Linked DNA regions of Saccharomyces cerevisiae S288C. The main gene of each other region encodes a partner of the protein of the gene in region 2 in a complex. Each region holds a gene or a part of one and is shown on either strand. Other genes may lie near its edges. A codon is read from its position in the direction of its gene.

What was found.
Region 1: the proteins of COX7 (region 2) and COX3 are in contact, whole or in part, in a cryo-EM structure (PDB 8DH6), measured with the Saccharomyces cerevisiae proteins. Residues at the interface, in NP_013983.1 of Saccharomyces cerevisiae: Ala2 (codon at 5,793), Asn3 (codon at 5,790), Val5 (codon at 5,784), Leu8 (codon at 5,775), Gln9 (codon at 5,772), Phe12 (codon at 5,763), Gln13 (codon at 5,760), Leu19 (codon at 5,742), Trp20 (codon at 5,739), Arg22 (codon at 5,733), His23 (codon at 5,730), Arg25 (codon at 5,724), Ser26 (codon at 5,721), Tyr29 (codon at 5,712), Leu30 (codon at 5,709), Phe33 (codon at 5,700), Ile36 (codon at 5,691), Phe37 (codon at 5,688), Val39 (codon at 5,682), Ala40 (codon at 5,679), Val41 (codon at 5,676), Thr43 (codon at 5,670), Pro44 (codon at 5,667), Leu45 (codon at 5,664), Tyr47 (codon at 5,658), Ile48 (codon at 5,655), Ala51 (codon at 5,646), Gly54 (codon at 5,637), Ile55 (codon at 5,634), Lys56 (codon at 5,631); in NP_009328.1 of Saccharomyces cerevisiae: Met18 (codon at 1,259), Pro19 (codon at 1,256), Ser20 (codon at 1,253), Pro21 (codon at 1,250), Trp22, Val25 (codon at 1,238), Phe28 (codon at 1,229), Ala29 (codon at 1,226), Ser32 (codon at 1,217), Leu35 (codon at 1,208), Ser36 (codon at 1,205), Leu39 (codon at 1,196), His42 (codon at 1,187), Gly43 (codon at 1,184), Tyr44 (codon at 1,181), Ile45 (codon at 1,178), Gly46 (codon at 1,175), Met50 (codon at 1,163), Leu53 (codon at 1,154), Phe56 (codon at 1,145), Val57 (codon at 1,142), Thr60 (codon at 1,133), Ser61 (codon at 1,130), Leu64 (codon at 1,121), Arg67 (codon at 1,112), Asp68 (codon at 1,109), Ala71 (codon at 1,100), Glu72 (codon at 1,097), Thr74 (codon at 1,091), Tyr75 (codon at 1,088).

Annotation. Positions count from the first base shown.
Region 1 is NC_001224.1:77,360-80,522, reverse strand, and holds COX3 (cytochrome c oxidase subunit 3), read right to left. Parts: upstream 1,311-3,163; coding exon 501-1,310; downstream 1-500. UniProt on the Saccharomyces cerevisiae protein: Component of the cytochrome c oxidase, the last enzyme in the mitochondrial electron transport chain which drives oxidative phosphorylation.
Region 2 is NC_001145.3:773,332-784,984, forward strand, and holds COX7 (cytochrome c oxidase subunit VII), read right to left. Parts: upstream 5,797-11,653; coding exon 5,614-5,796; downstream 1-5,613. Other genes in the region: GTO3 (omega-class glutathione transferase), read left to right, coding at 1-684; HOR7 (Hor7p), read left to right, coding at 1,421-1,600; MLO1 (Mlo1p), read right to left, coding at 1,984-2,388; YMR253C (uncharacterized protein), read right to left, coding at 2,615-3,859; YMR254C (uncharacterized protein), read right to left, coding at 4,284-4,592; GFD1 (Gfd1p), read left to right, coding at 4,670-5,236; PET111 (Pet111p), read right to left, coding at 6,298-8,700; ROY1 (Roy1p), read right to left, coding at 9,289-10,950; tRNA methylation protein TRM732, read right to left, coding at 11,290-11,653. UniProt on the Saccharomyces cerevisiae protein: Component of the cytochrome c oxidase, the last enzyme in the mitochondrial electron transport chain which drives oxidative phosphorylation.

The DNA.
Region 1 (3,163 bases), on a different chromosome or scaffold from region 2:
CGTGGCCGGGCCCCGGAACTATATAATATTTAATAATAATCAAATAAAAAATATTTTTTATAAAATAATATTAATAATATATATATATATATGAATTTATATATTAGTTAAATTAATAATATTTATATTATATTATATCATATTAAAAAAGTCCCGCTGGAGGTGAGGCGGTGACCTCGAAGGAATATAAAAATATAAATAATTACATTATTATATTATATTATATTAATATTATATTTTTTTTTTTATAAATATTAAATAAATTTATTAATTATCTTTATAAAAGGTAAATGAAAAAAGAGTATAATGATTATATTATTATTAGTTCCCGCTTCGCGGGAACCCCGTTAGGAGTTTTGAAGGAATAATATATAATAATTATATTTGTAAGAATATTATTATAATAATATAAAATATATATATATAAATTATAATATATTAATTATTGTTAATTATTAATAATATATATATTAATCATTTAGATATATAATTCTATAGCCTTAGACTCCTCATCAGTAGAAGACTACGTATAAAAATAATCAGATAACATCTAAAACATGTAGATAAATAATAGTTGTTTCATATCCAACATGATGTCCAGCTGTTAAATGATAATTTCTCATTCTTCAATAATTAACACCTAACATAGCTGCTAACATTACCATATGTAAGAAATGTAATCCTGTACCAGCATAGAATACTGAACCATAAACACCATCAGAGATAGTGAATGCAGCATTAGTATATTCAATATATTGACAAGTAACAAAAATAACAATTAATCAGAATGTAATTAATAAACCTGATAAGGCTTTATTTCTATTACCTGCGATTAAGGCATGATGACTATAAGTTACAGTAGCACCAGAAGATAATAAGATAATAGTATTTAATAAAGGTAATTCGGTAGGTTGTACAGCTTCAATACCTACGGGTGGTCAACATGCACCTAATAGTACATCAGGACTCATAGCTGAATGGAAATAAGCTCAGAATAAACCAGCAAAGATTAATACTTCAGATAATACAAACATTAAGAAACCTAAATTAATACCTTTTCTTACTGCTATAGTATGATCACCTAAATATGTAGCTTCAGCTACAATATCTCTAAATCATAAAATAGAACTTGTTAATAATACAAATAATGCTAAATATACCATATTCATATTACCAATATAACCATGCATTGTTAATGCTAGTGATAATGCTAATGATAATAATGCAAATGATACTACAATAGGTCATGGTGAAGGCATAACCATATGAAATGGATGTTGTTGATGTCTACTTCTTTCTAAATGTGTCATAAATTTATTGTTATATATATATTATATATATAATATAATTAAATAAATAAATAAAAAAAATATTAATAAAATATTATCCCTTAAACTATATAATAAAATTAAATAATAATATTAATTTAATAAATCTTTTATTTAATAATAATATAAATTATATTAAATATTTATAATAATATATTATTTATAAAATTATAAAATAAATTTATATATAATTCAATATATATATATTAATTTATATATTTAAATTAAATATAATTAAATAAATAATATAATCGAATTAATATCTCTTTCGACCGGATTATTTATTCAATTATTAATAATATAAATAATTAATTTGTATTGAATATAATTTATTTAAATATTTTATTATTATTATTATTATTATTATTAATTTATTAATATTAAAGGAAATATATTTATTATATTATATTATATATATTTTTTATTATTTATATTTATTATTAATATAAATCATTGATAATATCTTCTTTTTATTTATTTATTATTATAATTAAAAAAGAATCTTATATTAATTAATATTATTTATTTTTTTTTTATTTAATAAATAAATATTATTATATTAAGATAGATATAATATTATATCTAGATTTAGGAAATATAGGGTTCGAACCTATAATCTTTCGTGTGTAAAACGAATGCTATACCAATTAAGCTAATCTCCTTTATAAAATATATACTCCACAGATATATATCCAAAACTCTTATTAATTATTATAATTATTATTTTATTTATTTATATATATATAATTATAATAATTCATATAATTATTATAATCTTATAAATATTCCTATTGAAAATTATACTTTATAATTAAATTTATTAATAATTATTTAATTTAATATATAAAATATTTATTTATATATATATTTATATATATATATATATTTTTATAAGTAGTATATTATATTTTATATATAATAATATTTATAATATATATATTATAAATTATATATAATATATTATATATTTATTTAATAATTTTTATATAATTAATATATTATATATTTAATAAATTTTATATAATTAATAAGGTAAATATAATTTAATGGTAAAATGTATGTTTTTAGGTGCATATTATCTAAGTTCAAATCTTAGTATTTACAAAATAAAAAATTAATATAAATTTATTATAATCATTTATAAATTTATTATAATATTATTATTATATTTATTTATTATTAATAATTATTTATTATTTATTATATAATATTTTTATAATTATATATTAAATATATATAAATTTTATTATAATAAAACTCCTTCTTAAATAGGGGTTCGGTTCCCATGGGGTCCCTCACTCCTTACGGGGTTCCCGCAAAGCGGGAACTAATAATAATATATATTTTTATATATATATTAATATATATATATATTTATAACTCCTTTATTGATATTTATTCTTATTTAGAATATTTTTAATTAAATAATATAATTAAATGAATACCAAACTTATATTATATTTATATTTATATTTATATTTCTCCTACCGGGGTTCCGGCTCCCGTGGCCGGGCCCCGGAACTAAATATATAAACTTTTTTTTATAATATTATATTTATTAAAATATTAATAAATAAATAAATAAGAGATATAATATATATTTTCTTTGTATTAAATATATTATATATATATATATTAATTATTATAATATATTTATTATAAATTAATTATTAATTAATATATTATTATTATTGCCCTTAATGAGAATCGAACTACATGTAAATAAATCTTCAATTTATCGCTTTACCACTAAGCTATAAAAGCTATATATAATATAATACTTATTATTACTTATAATATAATATATATATATATTTATATAATAATACATAATA
Region 2 (11,653 bases):
TTCTATTTCAAAACAAAGCCAGACTATAAGGGAAGATTCACCGTACCTGTTCTTTGGGACTTGGAAACATGCACTATAGTAAACAATGAAAGCAGTGATATCATCGGAATTATGAATTCCGCTGCGTTTGATGAGTTTGTCGGCGAAGAATACCGTCAAGTCCGTCTGGTACCTCGGTCTCTAGAGGCACAGATTACAGAGTTCAACTCTTGGGTGTACGATAAAATCAACAACGGTGTATACAAGGCCGGTTTTGCAGAATGTGCAGAGGTATACGAGAGGGAGGTAACAAGCCTTTTTCAATATCTTGACAAATTGGAAAATCTTCTGGACAAGAAGTACACAGATTTGGAGGCGGAGTATGGTAAGAACAACAAGGACAAGATACTAGATCGCTACTTTGCCATCGGAGACACTCTGACCGAGGCGGACGTGAGACTCTACCCAACGATAGTAAGGTTCGACGTGGTATACCATCAACACTTCAAATGCAATCTGGCCACCATCAGAGATGATTATTCCCGTATACACACGTGGCTCAAGAATATATACTGGCGCCACGAAGCCTTCCAGCGCACAACGGACTTTACCCACATAAAACTCGGATATACTCGCTCGCAGCCACGGGTCAACCCGATTGGGATCACCCCACTGGGGCCCAAGCCTGATATCCGACCTCCATGAAATTTTTTTTTTTCTTTCGATTAGCACGCACACACATCACATAGACTGCGTCATAAAAATACACTACGGAAAAACCATAAAGAGCAAAGCGATACCTACTTGGAAGGAAAAGGAGCACGCTTGTAAGGGGGATGGGGGCTAAGAAGTCATTCACTTTCTTTTCCCTTCGCGGTCCGGACCCGGGACCCCTCCTCTCCCCGCACGATTTCTTCCTTTCATATCTTCCTTTTATTCCTATCCCGTTGAAGCAACCGCACTATGACTAAATGGTGCTGGACATCTCCATGGCTGTGACTTGTGTGTATCTCACAGTGGTAACGGCACCGTGGCTCGGAAACGGTTCCTTCGTGACAATTCTAGAACAGGGGCTACAGTCTCGATAATAGAATAATAAGCGCATTTTTGCTAGCGCCGCCGCGGCGCCCGTTTCCCAATAGGGAGGCGCAGTTTATCGGCGGAGCTCTACTTCTTCCTATTTGGGTAAGCCCCTTTCTGTTTTCGGCCAGTGGTTGCTGCAGGCTGCGCCGGAGAACATAGTGATAAGGGATGTAACTTTCGATGAGAGAATTAGCAAGCGGAAAAAAACTATGGCTAGCTGGGAGTTGTTTTTCAATCATATAAAAGGGAGAAATTGTTGCTCACTATGTGACAGTTTCTGGGACGTCTTAACTTTTATTGCAGAGGACTATCAAATCATACAGATATTGTCAAAAAAAAAAAAGACTAATAATAAAAAATGAAGTTATCTCAAGTTGTTGTTTCCGCCGTCGCCTTCACTGGTTTAGTAAGTGCTGCTAACAGTTCTAACAGCTCAAGCTCAAAGAATGCTGCCCAACCAATTGCCGGTTTAAACAACGGTAAGGTTGCAGGCGCCGCTGGTGTTGCTCTAGCTGGTGCTTTGGCCTTTTTGATTTAAATTTAGACTTTGTTTGGAATACATTGAAAGAGAAAGAGTGGTTAATCGGGTGTAGAAAGAACAATCCAAAGTCACCTTTATTGGCGATATGTGTCATTGTTAATCCATTGGCCACATTTTTCCGATGATTTTCTCTCGGTGTGCAATATAGTAATAAGTTTTCACCTTTTCCGGTGAATAATGAAAAAAAAAAAACGAATACAAAAAAAAAAGTAATTTCTTTCAAGTTTATATATATAACAATATAATATTAAGTAATTTTAATCGAAAATTTTTTCCTCTAAAGAACCCAAAAATAAGCAACTATTGAATGAATATCTAAAATGATCGGAAGAAACGGTGTGCGCGGCGGAGGGAAGCGAAAAATTGGGAAACGGAAGCAATCACTTCTGTATTAACAATTGTTTAAAGCTGGGGTGACTGAACCTACTACCCGATTTCATATTATCATTGTTAGTTCCTAATTGCTCGTTCTTAAACGATTTCCAGATATCGTTATAAAATATGCCGAACACAGATGGCGAGTCATTGTGCTCGTCCATGCCAATACTCAGCCCCTTCAGCGAAACATTGGTCTTAGAACTTGGGTATTGGTGCCTGTAGTTTTTGACAAAACGCTGAATAAACTCTTGCTTCTGGGACATATTCAGTTCGTGCCATTTTTTAAAGGGGAAACATGCCTCCTTATCGAAGCTGAGCGAAGAAGAAGAAACAGGCGTGTATATCGTGCTTAAAGGTTTGAACCCAATTCTTGTTCTGATGTAGCTTACGAAAACTTTACCAAACATTAACACTTCACACTCGATCTTCTTCGTTTTGCTGCTTATATGGTACTTGCTGAACGACGCGATGATCCTTTTGTTTTGTTTTCTGAATGCTCGTGTACCCCACTTTCCCTATTGTTCTCTTGTTTCGTGTCCTTGCTTCCTCGGACTGCGCATTTCAACATGACACAAAAAAAAAAGAAAAGAAGGAAAAAAATCATAGTAGAAACTGAGGAATTTTATACTCGTCTTATTTAGAATCGGATAGGTCAAACTCTGTCAGGGGAATAGAGTTCTCTTCGTCGTCAATTATTGGGGTTAGGTCCTTGGCAGTTGTTTCATTGTTTGCCGCCCTTATCCTTATTACCCACAACGTGGCACTTATGATGATTATCATACCAATCCACGACCAGATATTTGGCCAATGCTTGTACAGTGCAACGTCCCAGAAAACCGCATATAGTAGTTGTGTGTATGTCATCAAAGACCCTCTTCCAGCACGTTCTCTTTGGATACCCATAGTTAATAGCAGCTGGAAGATAAAGCCGGACACACCCAGATTACCAAACAGTATCCATTGTTTTTTGGAATGTGGTATCTGGAATTTCATTGAAGGGATAGTGTTAATCCCAATGAAAGACACTATCGCTGTGATCAAAGAAAAATAACTCACACTCATTATAGCGTGAGCCCTCTTACCAATATAACGAATAATGATGTAGACGCAACTCATCCCTAAAACACCCCACAACCCAACCAAAGTGGCAATCAATCTCGATTTTGGGTCCGATGATTCTACTATTTGAGAGGAAGAGTCGGTCAATTCGGGAGTTCCAAATAAAAATGAAGGCCTTACAATTAACACCACGCCCAGCAATGAGATCAGCGAACCGAGCGCTTCCACTTTGGTGAATCTTTCCCTCAGGATAACCCACGACAGGAATATTGTTAGTGATGGTGCCAAAAAAGTGATCAAAACGGCATCACTAATCGTCAAGTACATTAACGAATAATACATTCCAAAGACACCGAAAAATCCAGTGCAACCTCTCAATACTAACCATTTGCGTACTTCAGGTTTACCAAATGGTACATCCGAAATTGTGCTCTTATTAATATACATGTATATCAATGTACCAATATATGTTATTACCATTCTAACTAATAAGATTTGCAATGGCTTGATCTGTCTATCATTGGCAATATCATCGGGGTCGTTTTCTAAGACTTTAGTAGACACCACCATGGCCGAGTTGAAGAAATATGATACTGTCAAGAGAACAAGCCCAATATTTGGTTTCAAATAATCTTTACTTATTCTTTGCAGCGTTGTTTCGTTGCCATCGACGTTAAAGTCTTCATTGCTGTTTGACTCTTTCGGTGAAAGTGATCTCGTAGTAGACGGTAGTTGCAAACTCGTATCATTCATTTCTTTAGAAACTAGTAGGTGTGTATTGTTTTCTCTTTTCATAACCTTCGGTACTGATGGATTCATTTTCTTATCTCTATCTATTTTCTTCACCACAGCAACAACAAATTCATGCCTACGAAAACTTAAGAAGGAAAAAAAAGGAATTTTACTGAAATAAGAAAAATTCTAAAGTAGATCAAAGAACATCTCGCTTTCCAATTCCACATCTTTGTCCAAAATATCCAACTACCATTCGCACCATTCTGCGATCTTTGGAAGGGCCCTTAGGAGCCCTATCCCTTACCGTTAGCCGGTATCTTTTTACCAAATTAAGGTGCATTTCCTAGTTAGGAAAATGCCTCATGACGGTATCTGGGGTCTCTACGTCAAGTAAATATATGTCAATATATCGATGTGTCGGCAGACTTGCTGGCTTGCGCGAGTTAATGAAGTAATAGAACAAGCTTTCTGTAATCATCCCGTCACTTATGCTTTTGTACATATCGTGTCATACTGCGACTGTCTCAAGGAAATACCATGATAAAATATCTCTTACAATCGAAAAATCTAGCACGTGGGAGGGTAAGCATAAACTACCCAGAAACGCATGTATGGACTGCATTTGCTTCCTGACCAAAATAAGTATTATCGTCATATAAAAAACGTGCATAGTATATGTAACATCAATGATGCTGGGCGTTGTTTGCCATTTTGTATTTACTATGGCAGTGTATTTTGTAACGAGCACGTGATTTACAGGGCGCAGAAATGTTGAAAATTTAGAAAAAAGTAAGATAAGCAATATCAGTGGCACCATTGAGCTAGTCTCTAACAGCGGGGTGAGAAGCTATTTTTGATAGGAGAATACCTTCAATATCATTTTTACTATTTATCATGCCTTTAGAATCTATATGGGCCGATGCCCCTGACGAAGAACCAATAAAGAAGCAGAAACCAAGTCACAAGCGGAGTAATAACAATAAAAAGAATAATAATAGCAGGTGGAGTAATGAATCAAGTTCAAACAATAAGAAAAAAGATTCTGTAAACAAAGTGAAGAATAACAAAGGTAACCACGAAAGTAAAACGAAAAATAAAATAAAGGAAACTCTTCCCAGAGAAAAGAAGCCGCCTCATAGTCAGGGCAAAATATCGCCTGTAAGTGAATCATTGGCGATAAATCCTTTCTCCCAAAAAGCAACAGAGATATCTCCTCCACCAGTTTCACCTAGCAAGATGAAAACTACCAAAACACAATCCAAACAGGATACCGCTTCTAAGATGAAGTTATTAAAAAAGAAAATTGAAGAGCAGAGGGAAATATTGCAAAAGACTCATCACAAGAATCAACAGCAACAAGTGTTGATGGATTTTCTGAACGATGAAGGGAGCTCCAACTGGGTTGACGATGATGAAGAGGAGCTTATCCTTCAACGTTTGAAGACCTCTTTGAAAATATGATCCCTCCCATCACATGGACACTTTTAAGCACGTTTTGCTTGAAGAGACATTAGTTTACACCATTATAATTGTTTAATAAATACTAGACATACTTCAAGTGAGAAAATCAATCACACCTTTTTCAATGATTAGCAAATCTTTATTGCCAGGCCTAACTGAAACGATTTATTACTGCGCAAGAAAACAAAGATGGAAAAGGCTATGCTAGTTCGATTAGTTGTTTCCTTATTCTTTAGAATATTATATATGTATATATAAATAAATGGCTTTCATCTTATTTCGAATAAAAATGTTTTGGGTGATGTGTATTGAGCATACACACTTAATATCAAAGAACAATTATAAAGATGCTATGAACGGATGTTATTTTTACCTAACTATGCCTTCTTGGCTTTGATACCTCTAATAGCATTTGGAATGTATAGAAGTGGTGTAACGACGGCTACCGCAAAAATAGCATAAAATGGATACAGGTATAAAGCTGACCTTGGATGTCTCCACCATAGAGGTTTAGTGGAAGATTGGAAGATTTTCTGTAGTTGAATAACTTTATTAGCCATTATTTATTATTGTTTTGCTTTCTGTACTTGTTGGTTTAGAATCTTATATCGAGTTCTACTATTCATGGGATGAATAAATAATATCATCTTTTATTTCTATCCGCCTTTTCAAACCTGCCCCTACCAGGCCGGATTTCTCGGACGATGCGCGGCGTAGCCAATCAAGTACTGCCTTTTTTTTTTTTTGCTGACACTATATGTATACGTGCATATAATCAAACAATAAAGCAATTGTAAGCGTCAGCAATTCTAGCTGTACTAAGATCGTAGTGATTATATGCGCTTATATTTACATGGTATGAAGAATAAAATTTGAATAAATAAATAAACGTACTCTTTACGAGTACAAATCTCAAAACTAAAAGAAAAAAAGGGTTACATCTTGTTTCCAAATAGCGTCTATAGAAATGTAGGGTATAAGTTGATGCAAAGGTTTTTAGCGGTGTGTATGACACACAAATATTTACACGTGAGAGAAAGGAAGGTAAATAACTGAAAAGATTACTCCTCCTCCTTTTTATTCTCTTCAAAAAGCTTCATTTTCCTTTCATTTTGCTCCAACTTTAATAGTGAAATCTCTTCATCAAACCATTCTTTTAAGAAAAGTGTTAACTTTCTCATATTCTCAAGCCCCTGGTATTTATAGTCCACATATCTAAGTACTAACTCGTCAATGCGATCCTTTATCTCCTTGTTATCAATGGAAGCAGCAGTTGAAATGTAAGCAGGCCTTTTCTCAAAATATTTCATAAAGCCTTTGATTTGTCTAATGCAACCTGGAGTAATCAGGCTTGCCCTATGATTACAATTCCAGTCTTTTAAAATCCTACTAAACCGTTCGCTTTCATGCATTCTTGACGCCAACTTTAAAGATGTCATGTAATACATCATCCACTGTTTGTTATTTGAAGTATCCAAATTTTTTCTAGCTTGTGAAATTAGGTAACATGCATATTTGAAATCACGGGTGTGGAAACATATTTGAGTAAGTTGTAAATAGTTTTGAACTGAAAGCTCCTTTTGATGTACTCGTTCAAATTCCTTCAGTTTGAATTCCAGTTCTTTTAAATGTTCAGCAGACAACTTTTCAAAAGATCTATAATTAGAAATGATCTCCCATTTCAACCATAATATATCGACTTTTAGTGGGATATAGCGGAATCTGGTCCTTAATATCACATCAACTACACGTGCCAAACCAGTTAAAGAGTTTCTCAAGCATAATGCCAAAACGGAATACAAAAATGAAAATTGAGGCGCAATGCCCTCCTTCAAACTATTCGAAATCACCAATTCTGCTCCATATACATCATTGTGAGAAACTTTTTTCTTGAACTCTTCAAACCTTTCAAAATCAACCGCGTTGAAACCAGATAACGAAGAGTCTTCTCCTCCATTGATCTTTCTCGTATGGATATGGGCATTTTCTTGTAAAAATGTGTACACCCAAGTGAGACATTTGCTGTATTGGCTCCTTTTTAGAGTCACAAGTAGGTCATTTGTAATTTCTTTTGCCAGCATTGGATAAACATTTACGGCACATGACCATAATTGTTGAATAAATGCGGGCCGTAATCGCGTTTTACCATCAGTGGTTTTAACTACACTGCGATAATATTTGAAAAGTCCTTCGAATTGATTGGTGTTGACAAAATACCTAGAAATGCACAAATGAAACGAACCGTCTATGCTAATATCATTATCTCTCTGGATTTTTTCCAAGATTACTTTTAAATTCTCGAAATTGTTAGTAGAGACGTACGCTTGAACCACTGACATATATAGCTCTTTTCGTGTTGAAATATTATTATTAAGTCTGGTAATAAATTTATCAACTCTTTCCATCAATATTGAGTCATCAATGCTTTTTGTTCTGTCTCCTTTGATGCAATACAGAGAATGACAAAATTCAATCAACTCAAACTGCACACTTGATGTATATCCCGTACTTAAAACAACGGGATTGGTTAAAAAATCGTTTAGCTCATCTGTATTAGAAAAACGTAATAACATTCTGTGTATTATCGCGAGGGTTTTGAACGAGGGAAGGTTAGTTGAAGAGGATTGCTCATCACCACATTTCACTTTCAACCAGAGATAAAAGATGTGTTTCATACTGGACATATCTAGATATCTTTCCATACATCGGAGAAACTCAAAAAGCTGCTTTTCAGTTATTGGAAATGTATCAGGATTGGTAATTGCTTGCGTGTAAAATTCCACCGCTAGTTGAGTGTTATTACTCCTTATGAAAGAGTTTAATCCTAAAGATATCATTTGTGGCTTTACTTTGCAATATTTGATATATTCTGCAAATAAAGTTTCACAGACATCAAAATGATGTAAATTATGCTGTACTACCAACATAATTTCGATGAACTGACCATATGTGCCTTTATCAGTGTGGCTTGCTAATAAGGGCGTGAATTGCTCATATGTTGTGTATATTTGTCCAATATCGTAGTCCCTTTTCAAAAAGTGAAGAGAATTTATTAAGATCAGTAATTGCTGTATTGAAAACAAAACCTTTTGGTTAGTGGAAAGGCTAATTATTGTCATCAAAATATCTGGATCTGCACTTTCGAATTTTTGCTTCCACAATATTCCAAAATCTTTGTCTTTCACTATATTATATTGATTCTTAAGAATATCTAAGCTGCTGGGGCTTTTGGTAATGGAGTCCATCCAATCGAGTTTATTCCGAGACTCATACACACCGCTTATTGTTGAAGAATCTTTTAGTTGCGCTTTAACCCAATCCTCAATATCTTCCTTATGCTTTTTTTTGATCAACTCAGTTGAGTAATATCGTACTTTAAAGAAAACAGTGTGCATAACCTTGTTTGATTCTCTGTGAAGTAATCTCTTTATACCACTGGAGGATATAAATCTCCGTTGTAACATTAAGTTCTCGTAAGCAATTGTTTAAATTTAATAGGTAGTGATAAAAAATTTGACGATATCAAAGTTGTGGTGTAATTAATAGAATACATGAAAAGTTATGATCAACATAAAAATGCTCTATACCAGATAGAATTTTATAAAAAAGGAAGAGAATAAAACGATAATAAAAGGAAAGACAGGTTAAACGATTGGAATGGGGTCTTCAAGTTACAAATCTAGAGGAAAGTGTAGACCTAGTGCAGCAATTGTAAATTTTGAACCTTTCTGTGGGGGGAGGGGTTTCTCAAAGTATCAGATAGTATTATGCACGGTAAATAAAGCCTAACAACAAGAAGTCCAAACAATAAATAACAACCGTTTCTGATCCTTGGATCGTATACAGAAGCTTGTTCATTTCAGTTTTTTCATTGTCTCTTCCTTCGGTATGCCTACCTTTCTGAAATATATGGTTATTATTCGAAGAACTCGTAAGGTCCGGGTAATAATTATGAAATGCAATAGTAAAATATAATTATTACTCAACTGGCTGTATATATACGAACTCCTTCAACAAATGTACATAAGAAATGTTTATCACAACTATCAAGTTTAATCATAAATAGTTTCATAAGTGTGTAATTCTGGGCTCACGCTAAAGTATATTCCTGACAACATAGTTTGGCGAAGGTTTGGCAATATCTTTATCAAGTAGTTCATGTAAGGATAAAAAAAATGCGATATAATAGTGGCTAAGGGCTCAAATGAGGATTCGTCAAAATAACATTCATAACTTGCAAAGTGATGAATTCTCTCAAAGCCATGGAAATTCCACGTCGTATCCTCAGGGGCATACTGTAGTAAATCCAAATCCCAGTTCTTCTGAGGATCAAACCTCTTAGCTAGAGATTTTCCAGTATATGCTGCAAACACTATCGGTATAATATCCAAGTATCTTGCATCCGGGGTCGAAAAGTATTGATGATTCATGATGTACTTATCAAATAATGGTAAGTATTTGGAGCAGAACGCACATTTGCAGCCGTTCCACAAAAGGTCACACGCATACATTTCATATGAGGTGATGGACTGCAATACAGTTGGAGCTATTATTGTTTCCAACGAAGTTAGCTTTGGTAAAACCTTTTCATAAAGTTTTTTACGGCGAAGCAAGTTCCCATCAACAGTATCAATGCCCTTGCCATTTAAAGGTGGGTCATGTCGTATGCTTAACAAACGCAAATCTTTACTCACGTTTGGTAAATTTAAAATAAACTTATTAACGACCAAGTCCCATTTCTCGTCCATGTAATGGTACCCTTTTTTGGTGAATGTCTTTTCAATGAACCCCAGACTTGTTAAGGAAACAAGGTTTCCTGTTATATCTTGAAGAAAGTCATCATCACATTCACAGTCGTCCACCTCACAAGAAAATTCTAATTCAAGGGCTTTAAGATTGGATAAATTAACTACATCCTTAAACGCGCGTGAAGATAATCTCATAGAAGTAGCACTCCCATCACCTTGTTTGTGAACATGATTAAGCTTCAAACGGCGCAGATTCTTGAAGCGGAGGTTCAGGGAATCAAAGTATTCAAAGACCCTTAGGCTTGAGTACGCTTCGTCCTTTATTTCTAACTCTCCTCCATTAAGTTGCTTCATTAACATTACACCCACTTCAGGGATTATTACGTTTTGCAAATCCAACGATTCAGGTAATTGCCATTTTAAGCTTTTGAAGTTTTGCCATAATTTGATACCATCAAATCCAGTTTCGCCATATACTACTCTCTTCTTTAAACTTGACAGGCGATAATACTTTGCTGAACATAACTCAAACAAGGTAGGATCCTTGATGTCAAGACTTTCAATCACGTCCAAGTCAGTGATTTCATTGACCAATCTTTGTAACAGTTGCAATCCTTCTTCCCTGTTGTGAAACAAATCCTCGTCAATAGTCAGCTGTTTTATACATTTTAAATGCGATGTCTCCAACAACCTTTCAATTCTATCATATAAAAATATGTCATTCTTGTCACCGGTTTTCAGAACAGATCTATAACCACTTACATAAGTTTTTCCCCCGTCCAAAAACCATTTGTTTGTTCTTAAAACAGGATTCTTAGTTATGTGAATATTGCTATAAAGACGAGGGATTGCAATCATGTCATGCATTTTTTTGGATGTTAGACTTAGGCTTAATAAATCATTTTGATTAAGAAATAAGGAGGCATGCGAGAACACTATGAATATATCTTGATCTTGGAATGCCATTTGTCAGTATTACTTTTGTTATATCATGTGAGCACAACTGTCGTTTTCACAATAGTTCAAATTGACTAGAGAGTTAGTAAAGGGGTACAACTTGCTTTTGTAATAGGGCACACCTTTAATTTTCCATCCATGAACATTTTTCAACAAAAAAAGAGGTGGAAAAAATTCAAAAGAAAATGACAACGGTAAAGAAATTAAATCAAGTTCCATCATTGTATTTAGAATAGAAATCGACATGCTTTGTAATAGGTTCCACAATGAATCTCGTCACTAAATCCACAAGTAGGTTAGAGATGAATCAGATTATATGCAAAGTATATATCTGTACATATTCATTATTTATAATTGGGAATAACTGATAATTAGGGGATGAACAGAATGTTTAGTCAGAACATTGATAAAATTCTCATAATCAGAAGGAGAATAATGTTGAATCAGTTCCTTTAAAAGCGTTATTCTTGAAAATATTTCAGCATTAGAGCACCAGCCGAGTGGGGAATCTTTAAAATCCTCGGTGTTGAAGTGCTCCAATAGAGCACTTTTTAGGTGATGTATCTGGTCTTTGTAACACTTTGAGATATCCCTTCCAGTCAATTTTATCATATTTAATATATGCATTGCCTTTTGTAGTTCGTTGATGAACTGGTTATCCTTTTCTATAGTAAATAGACAATTCTTCGCCGATTCTTCGGCAGCAAACATA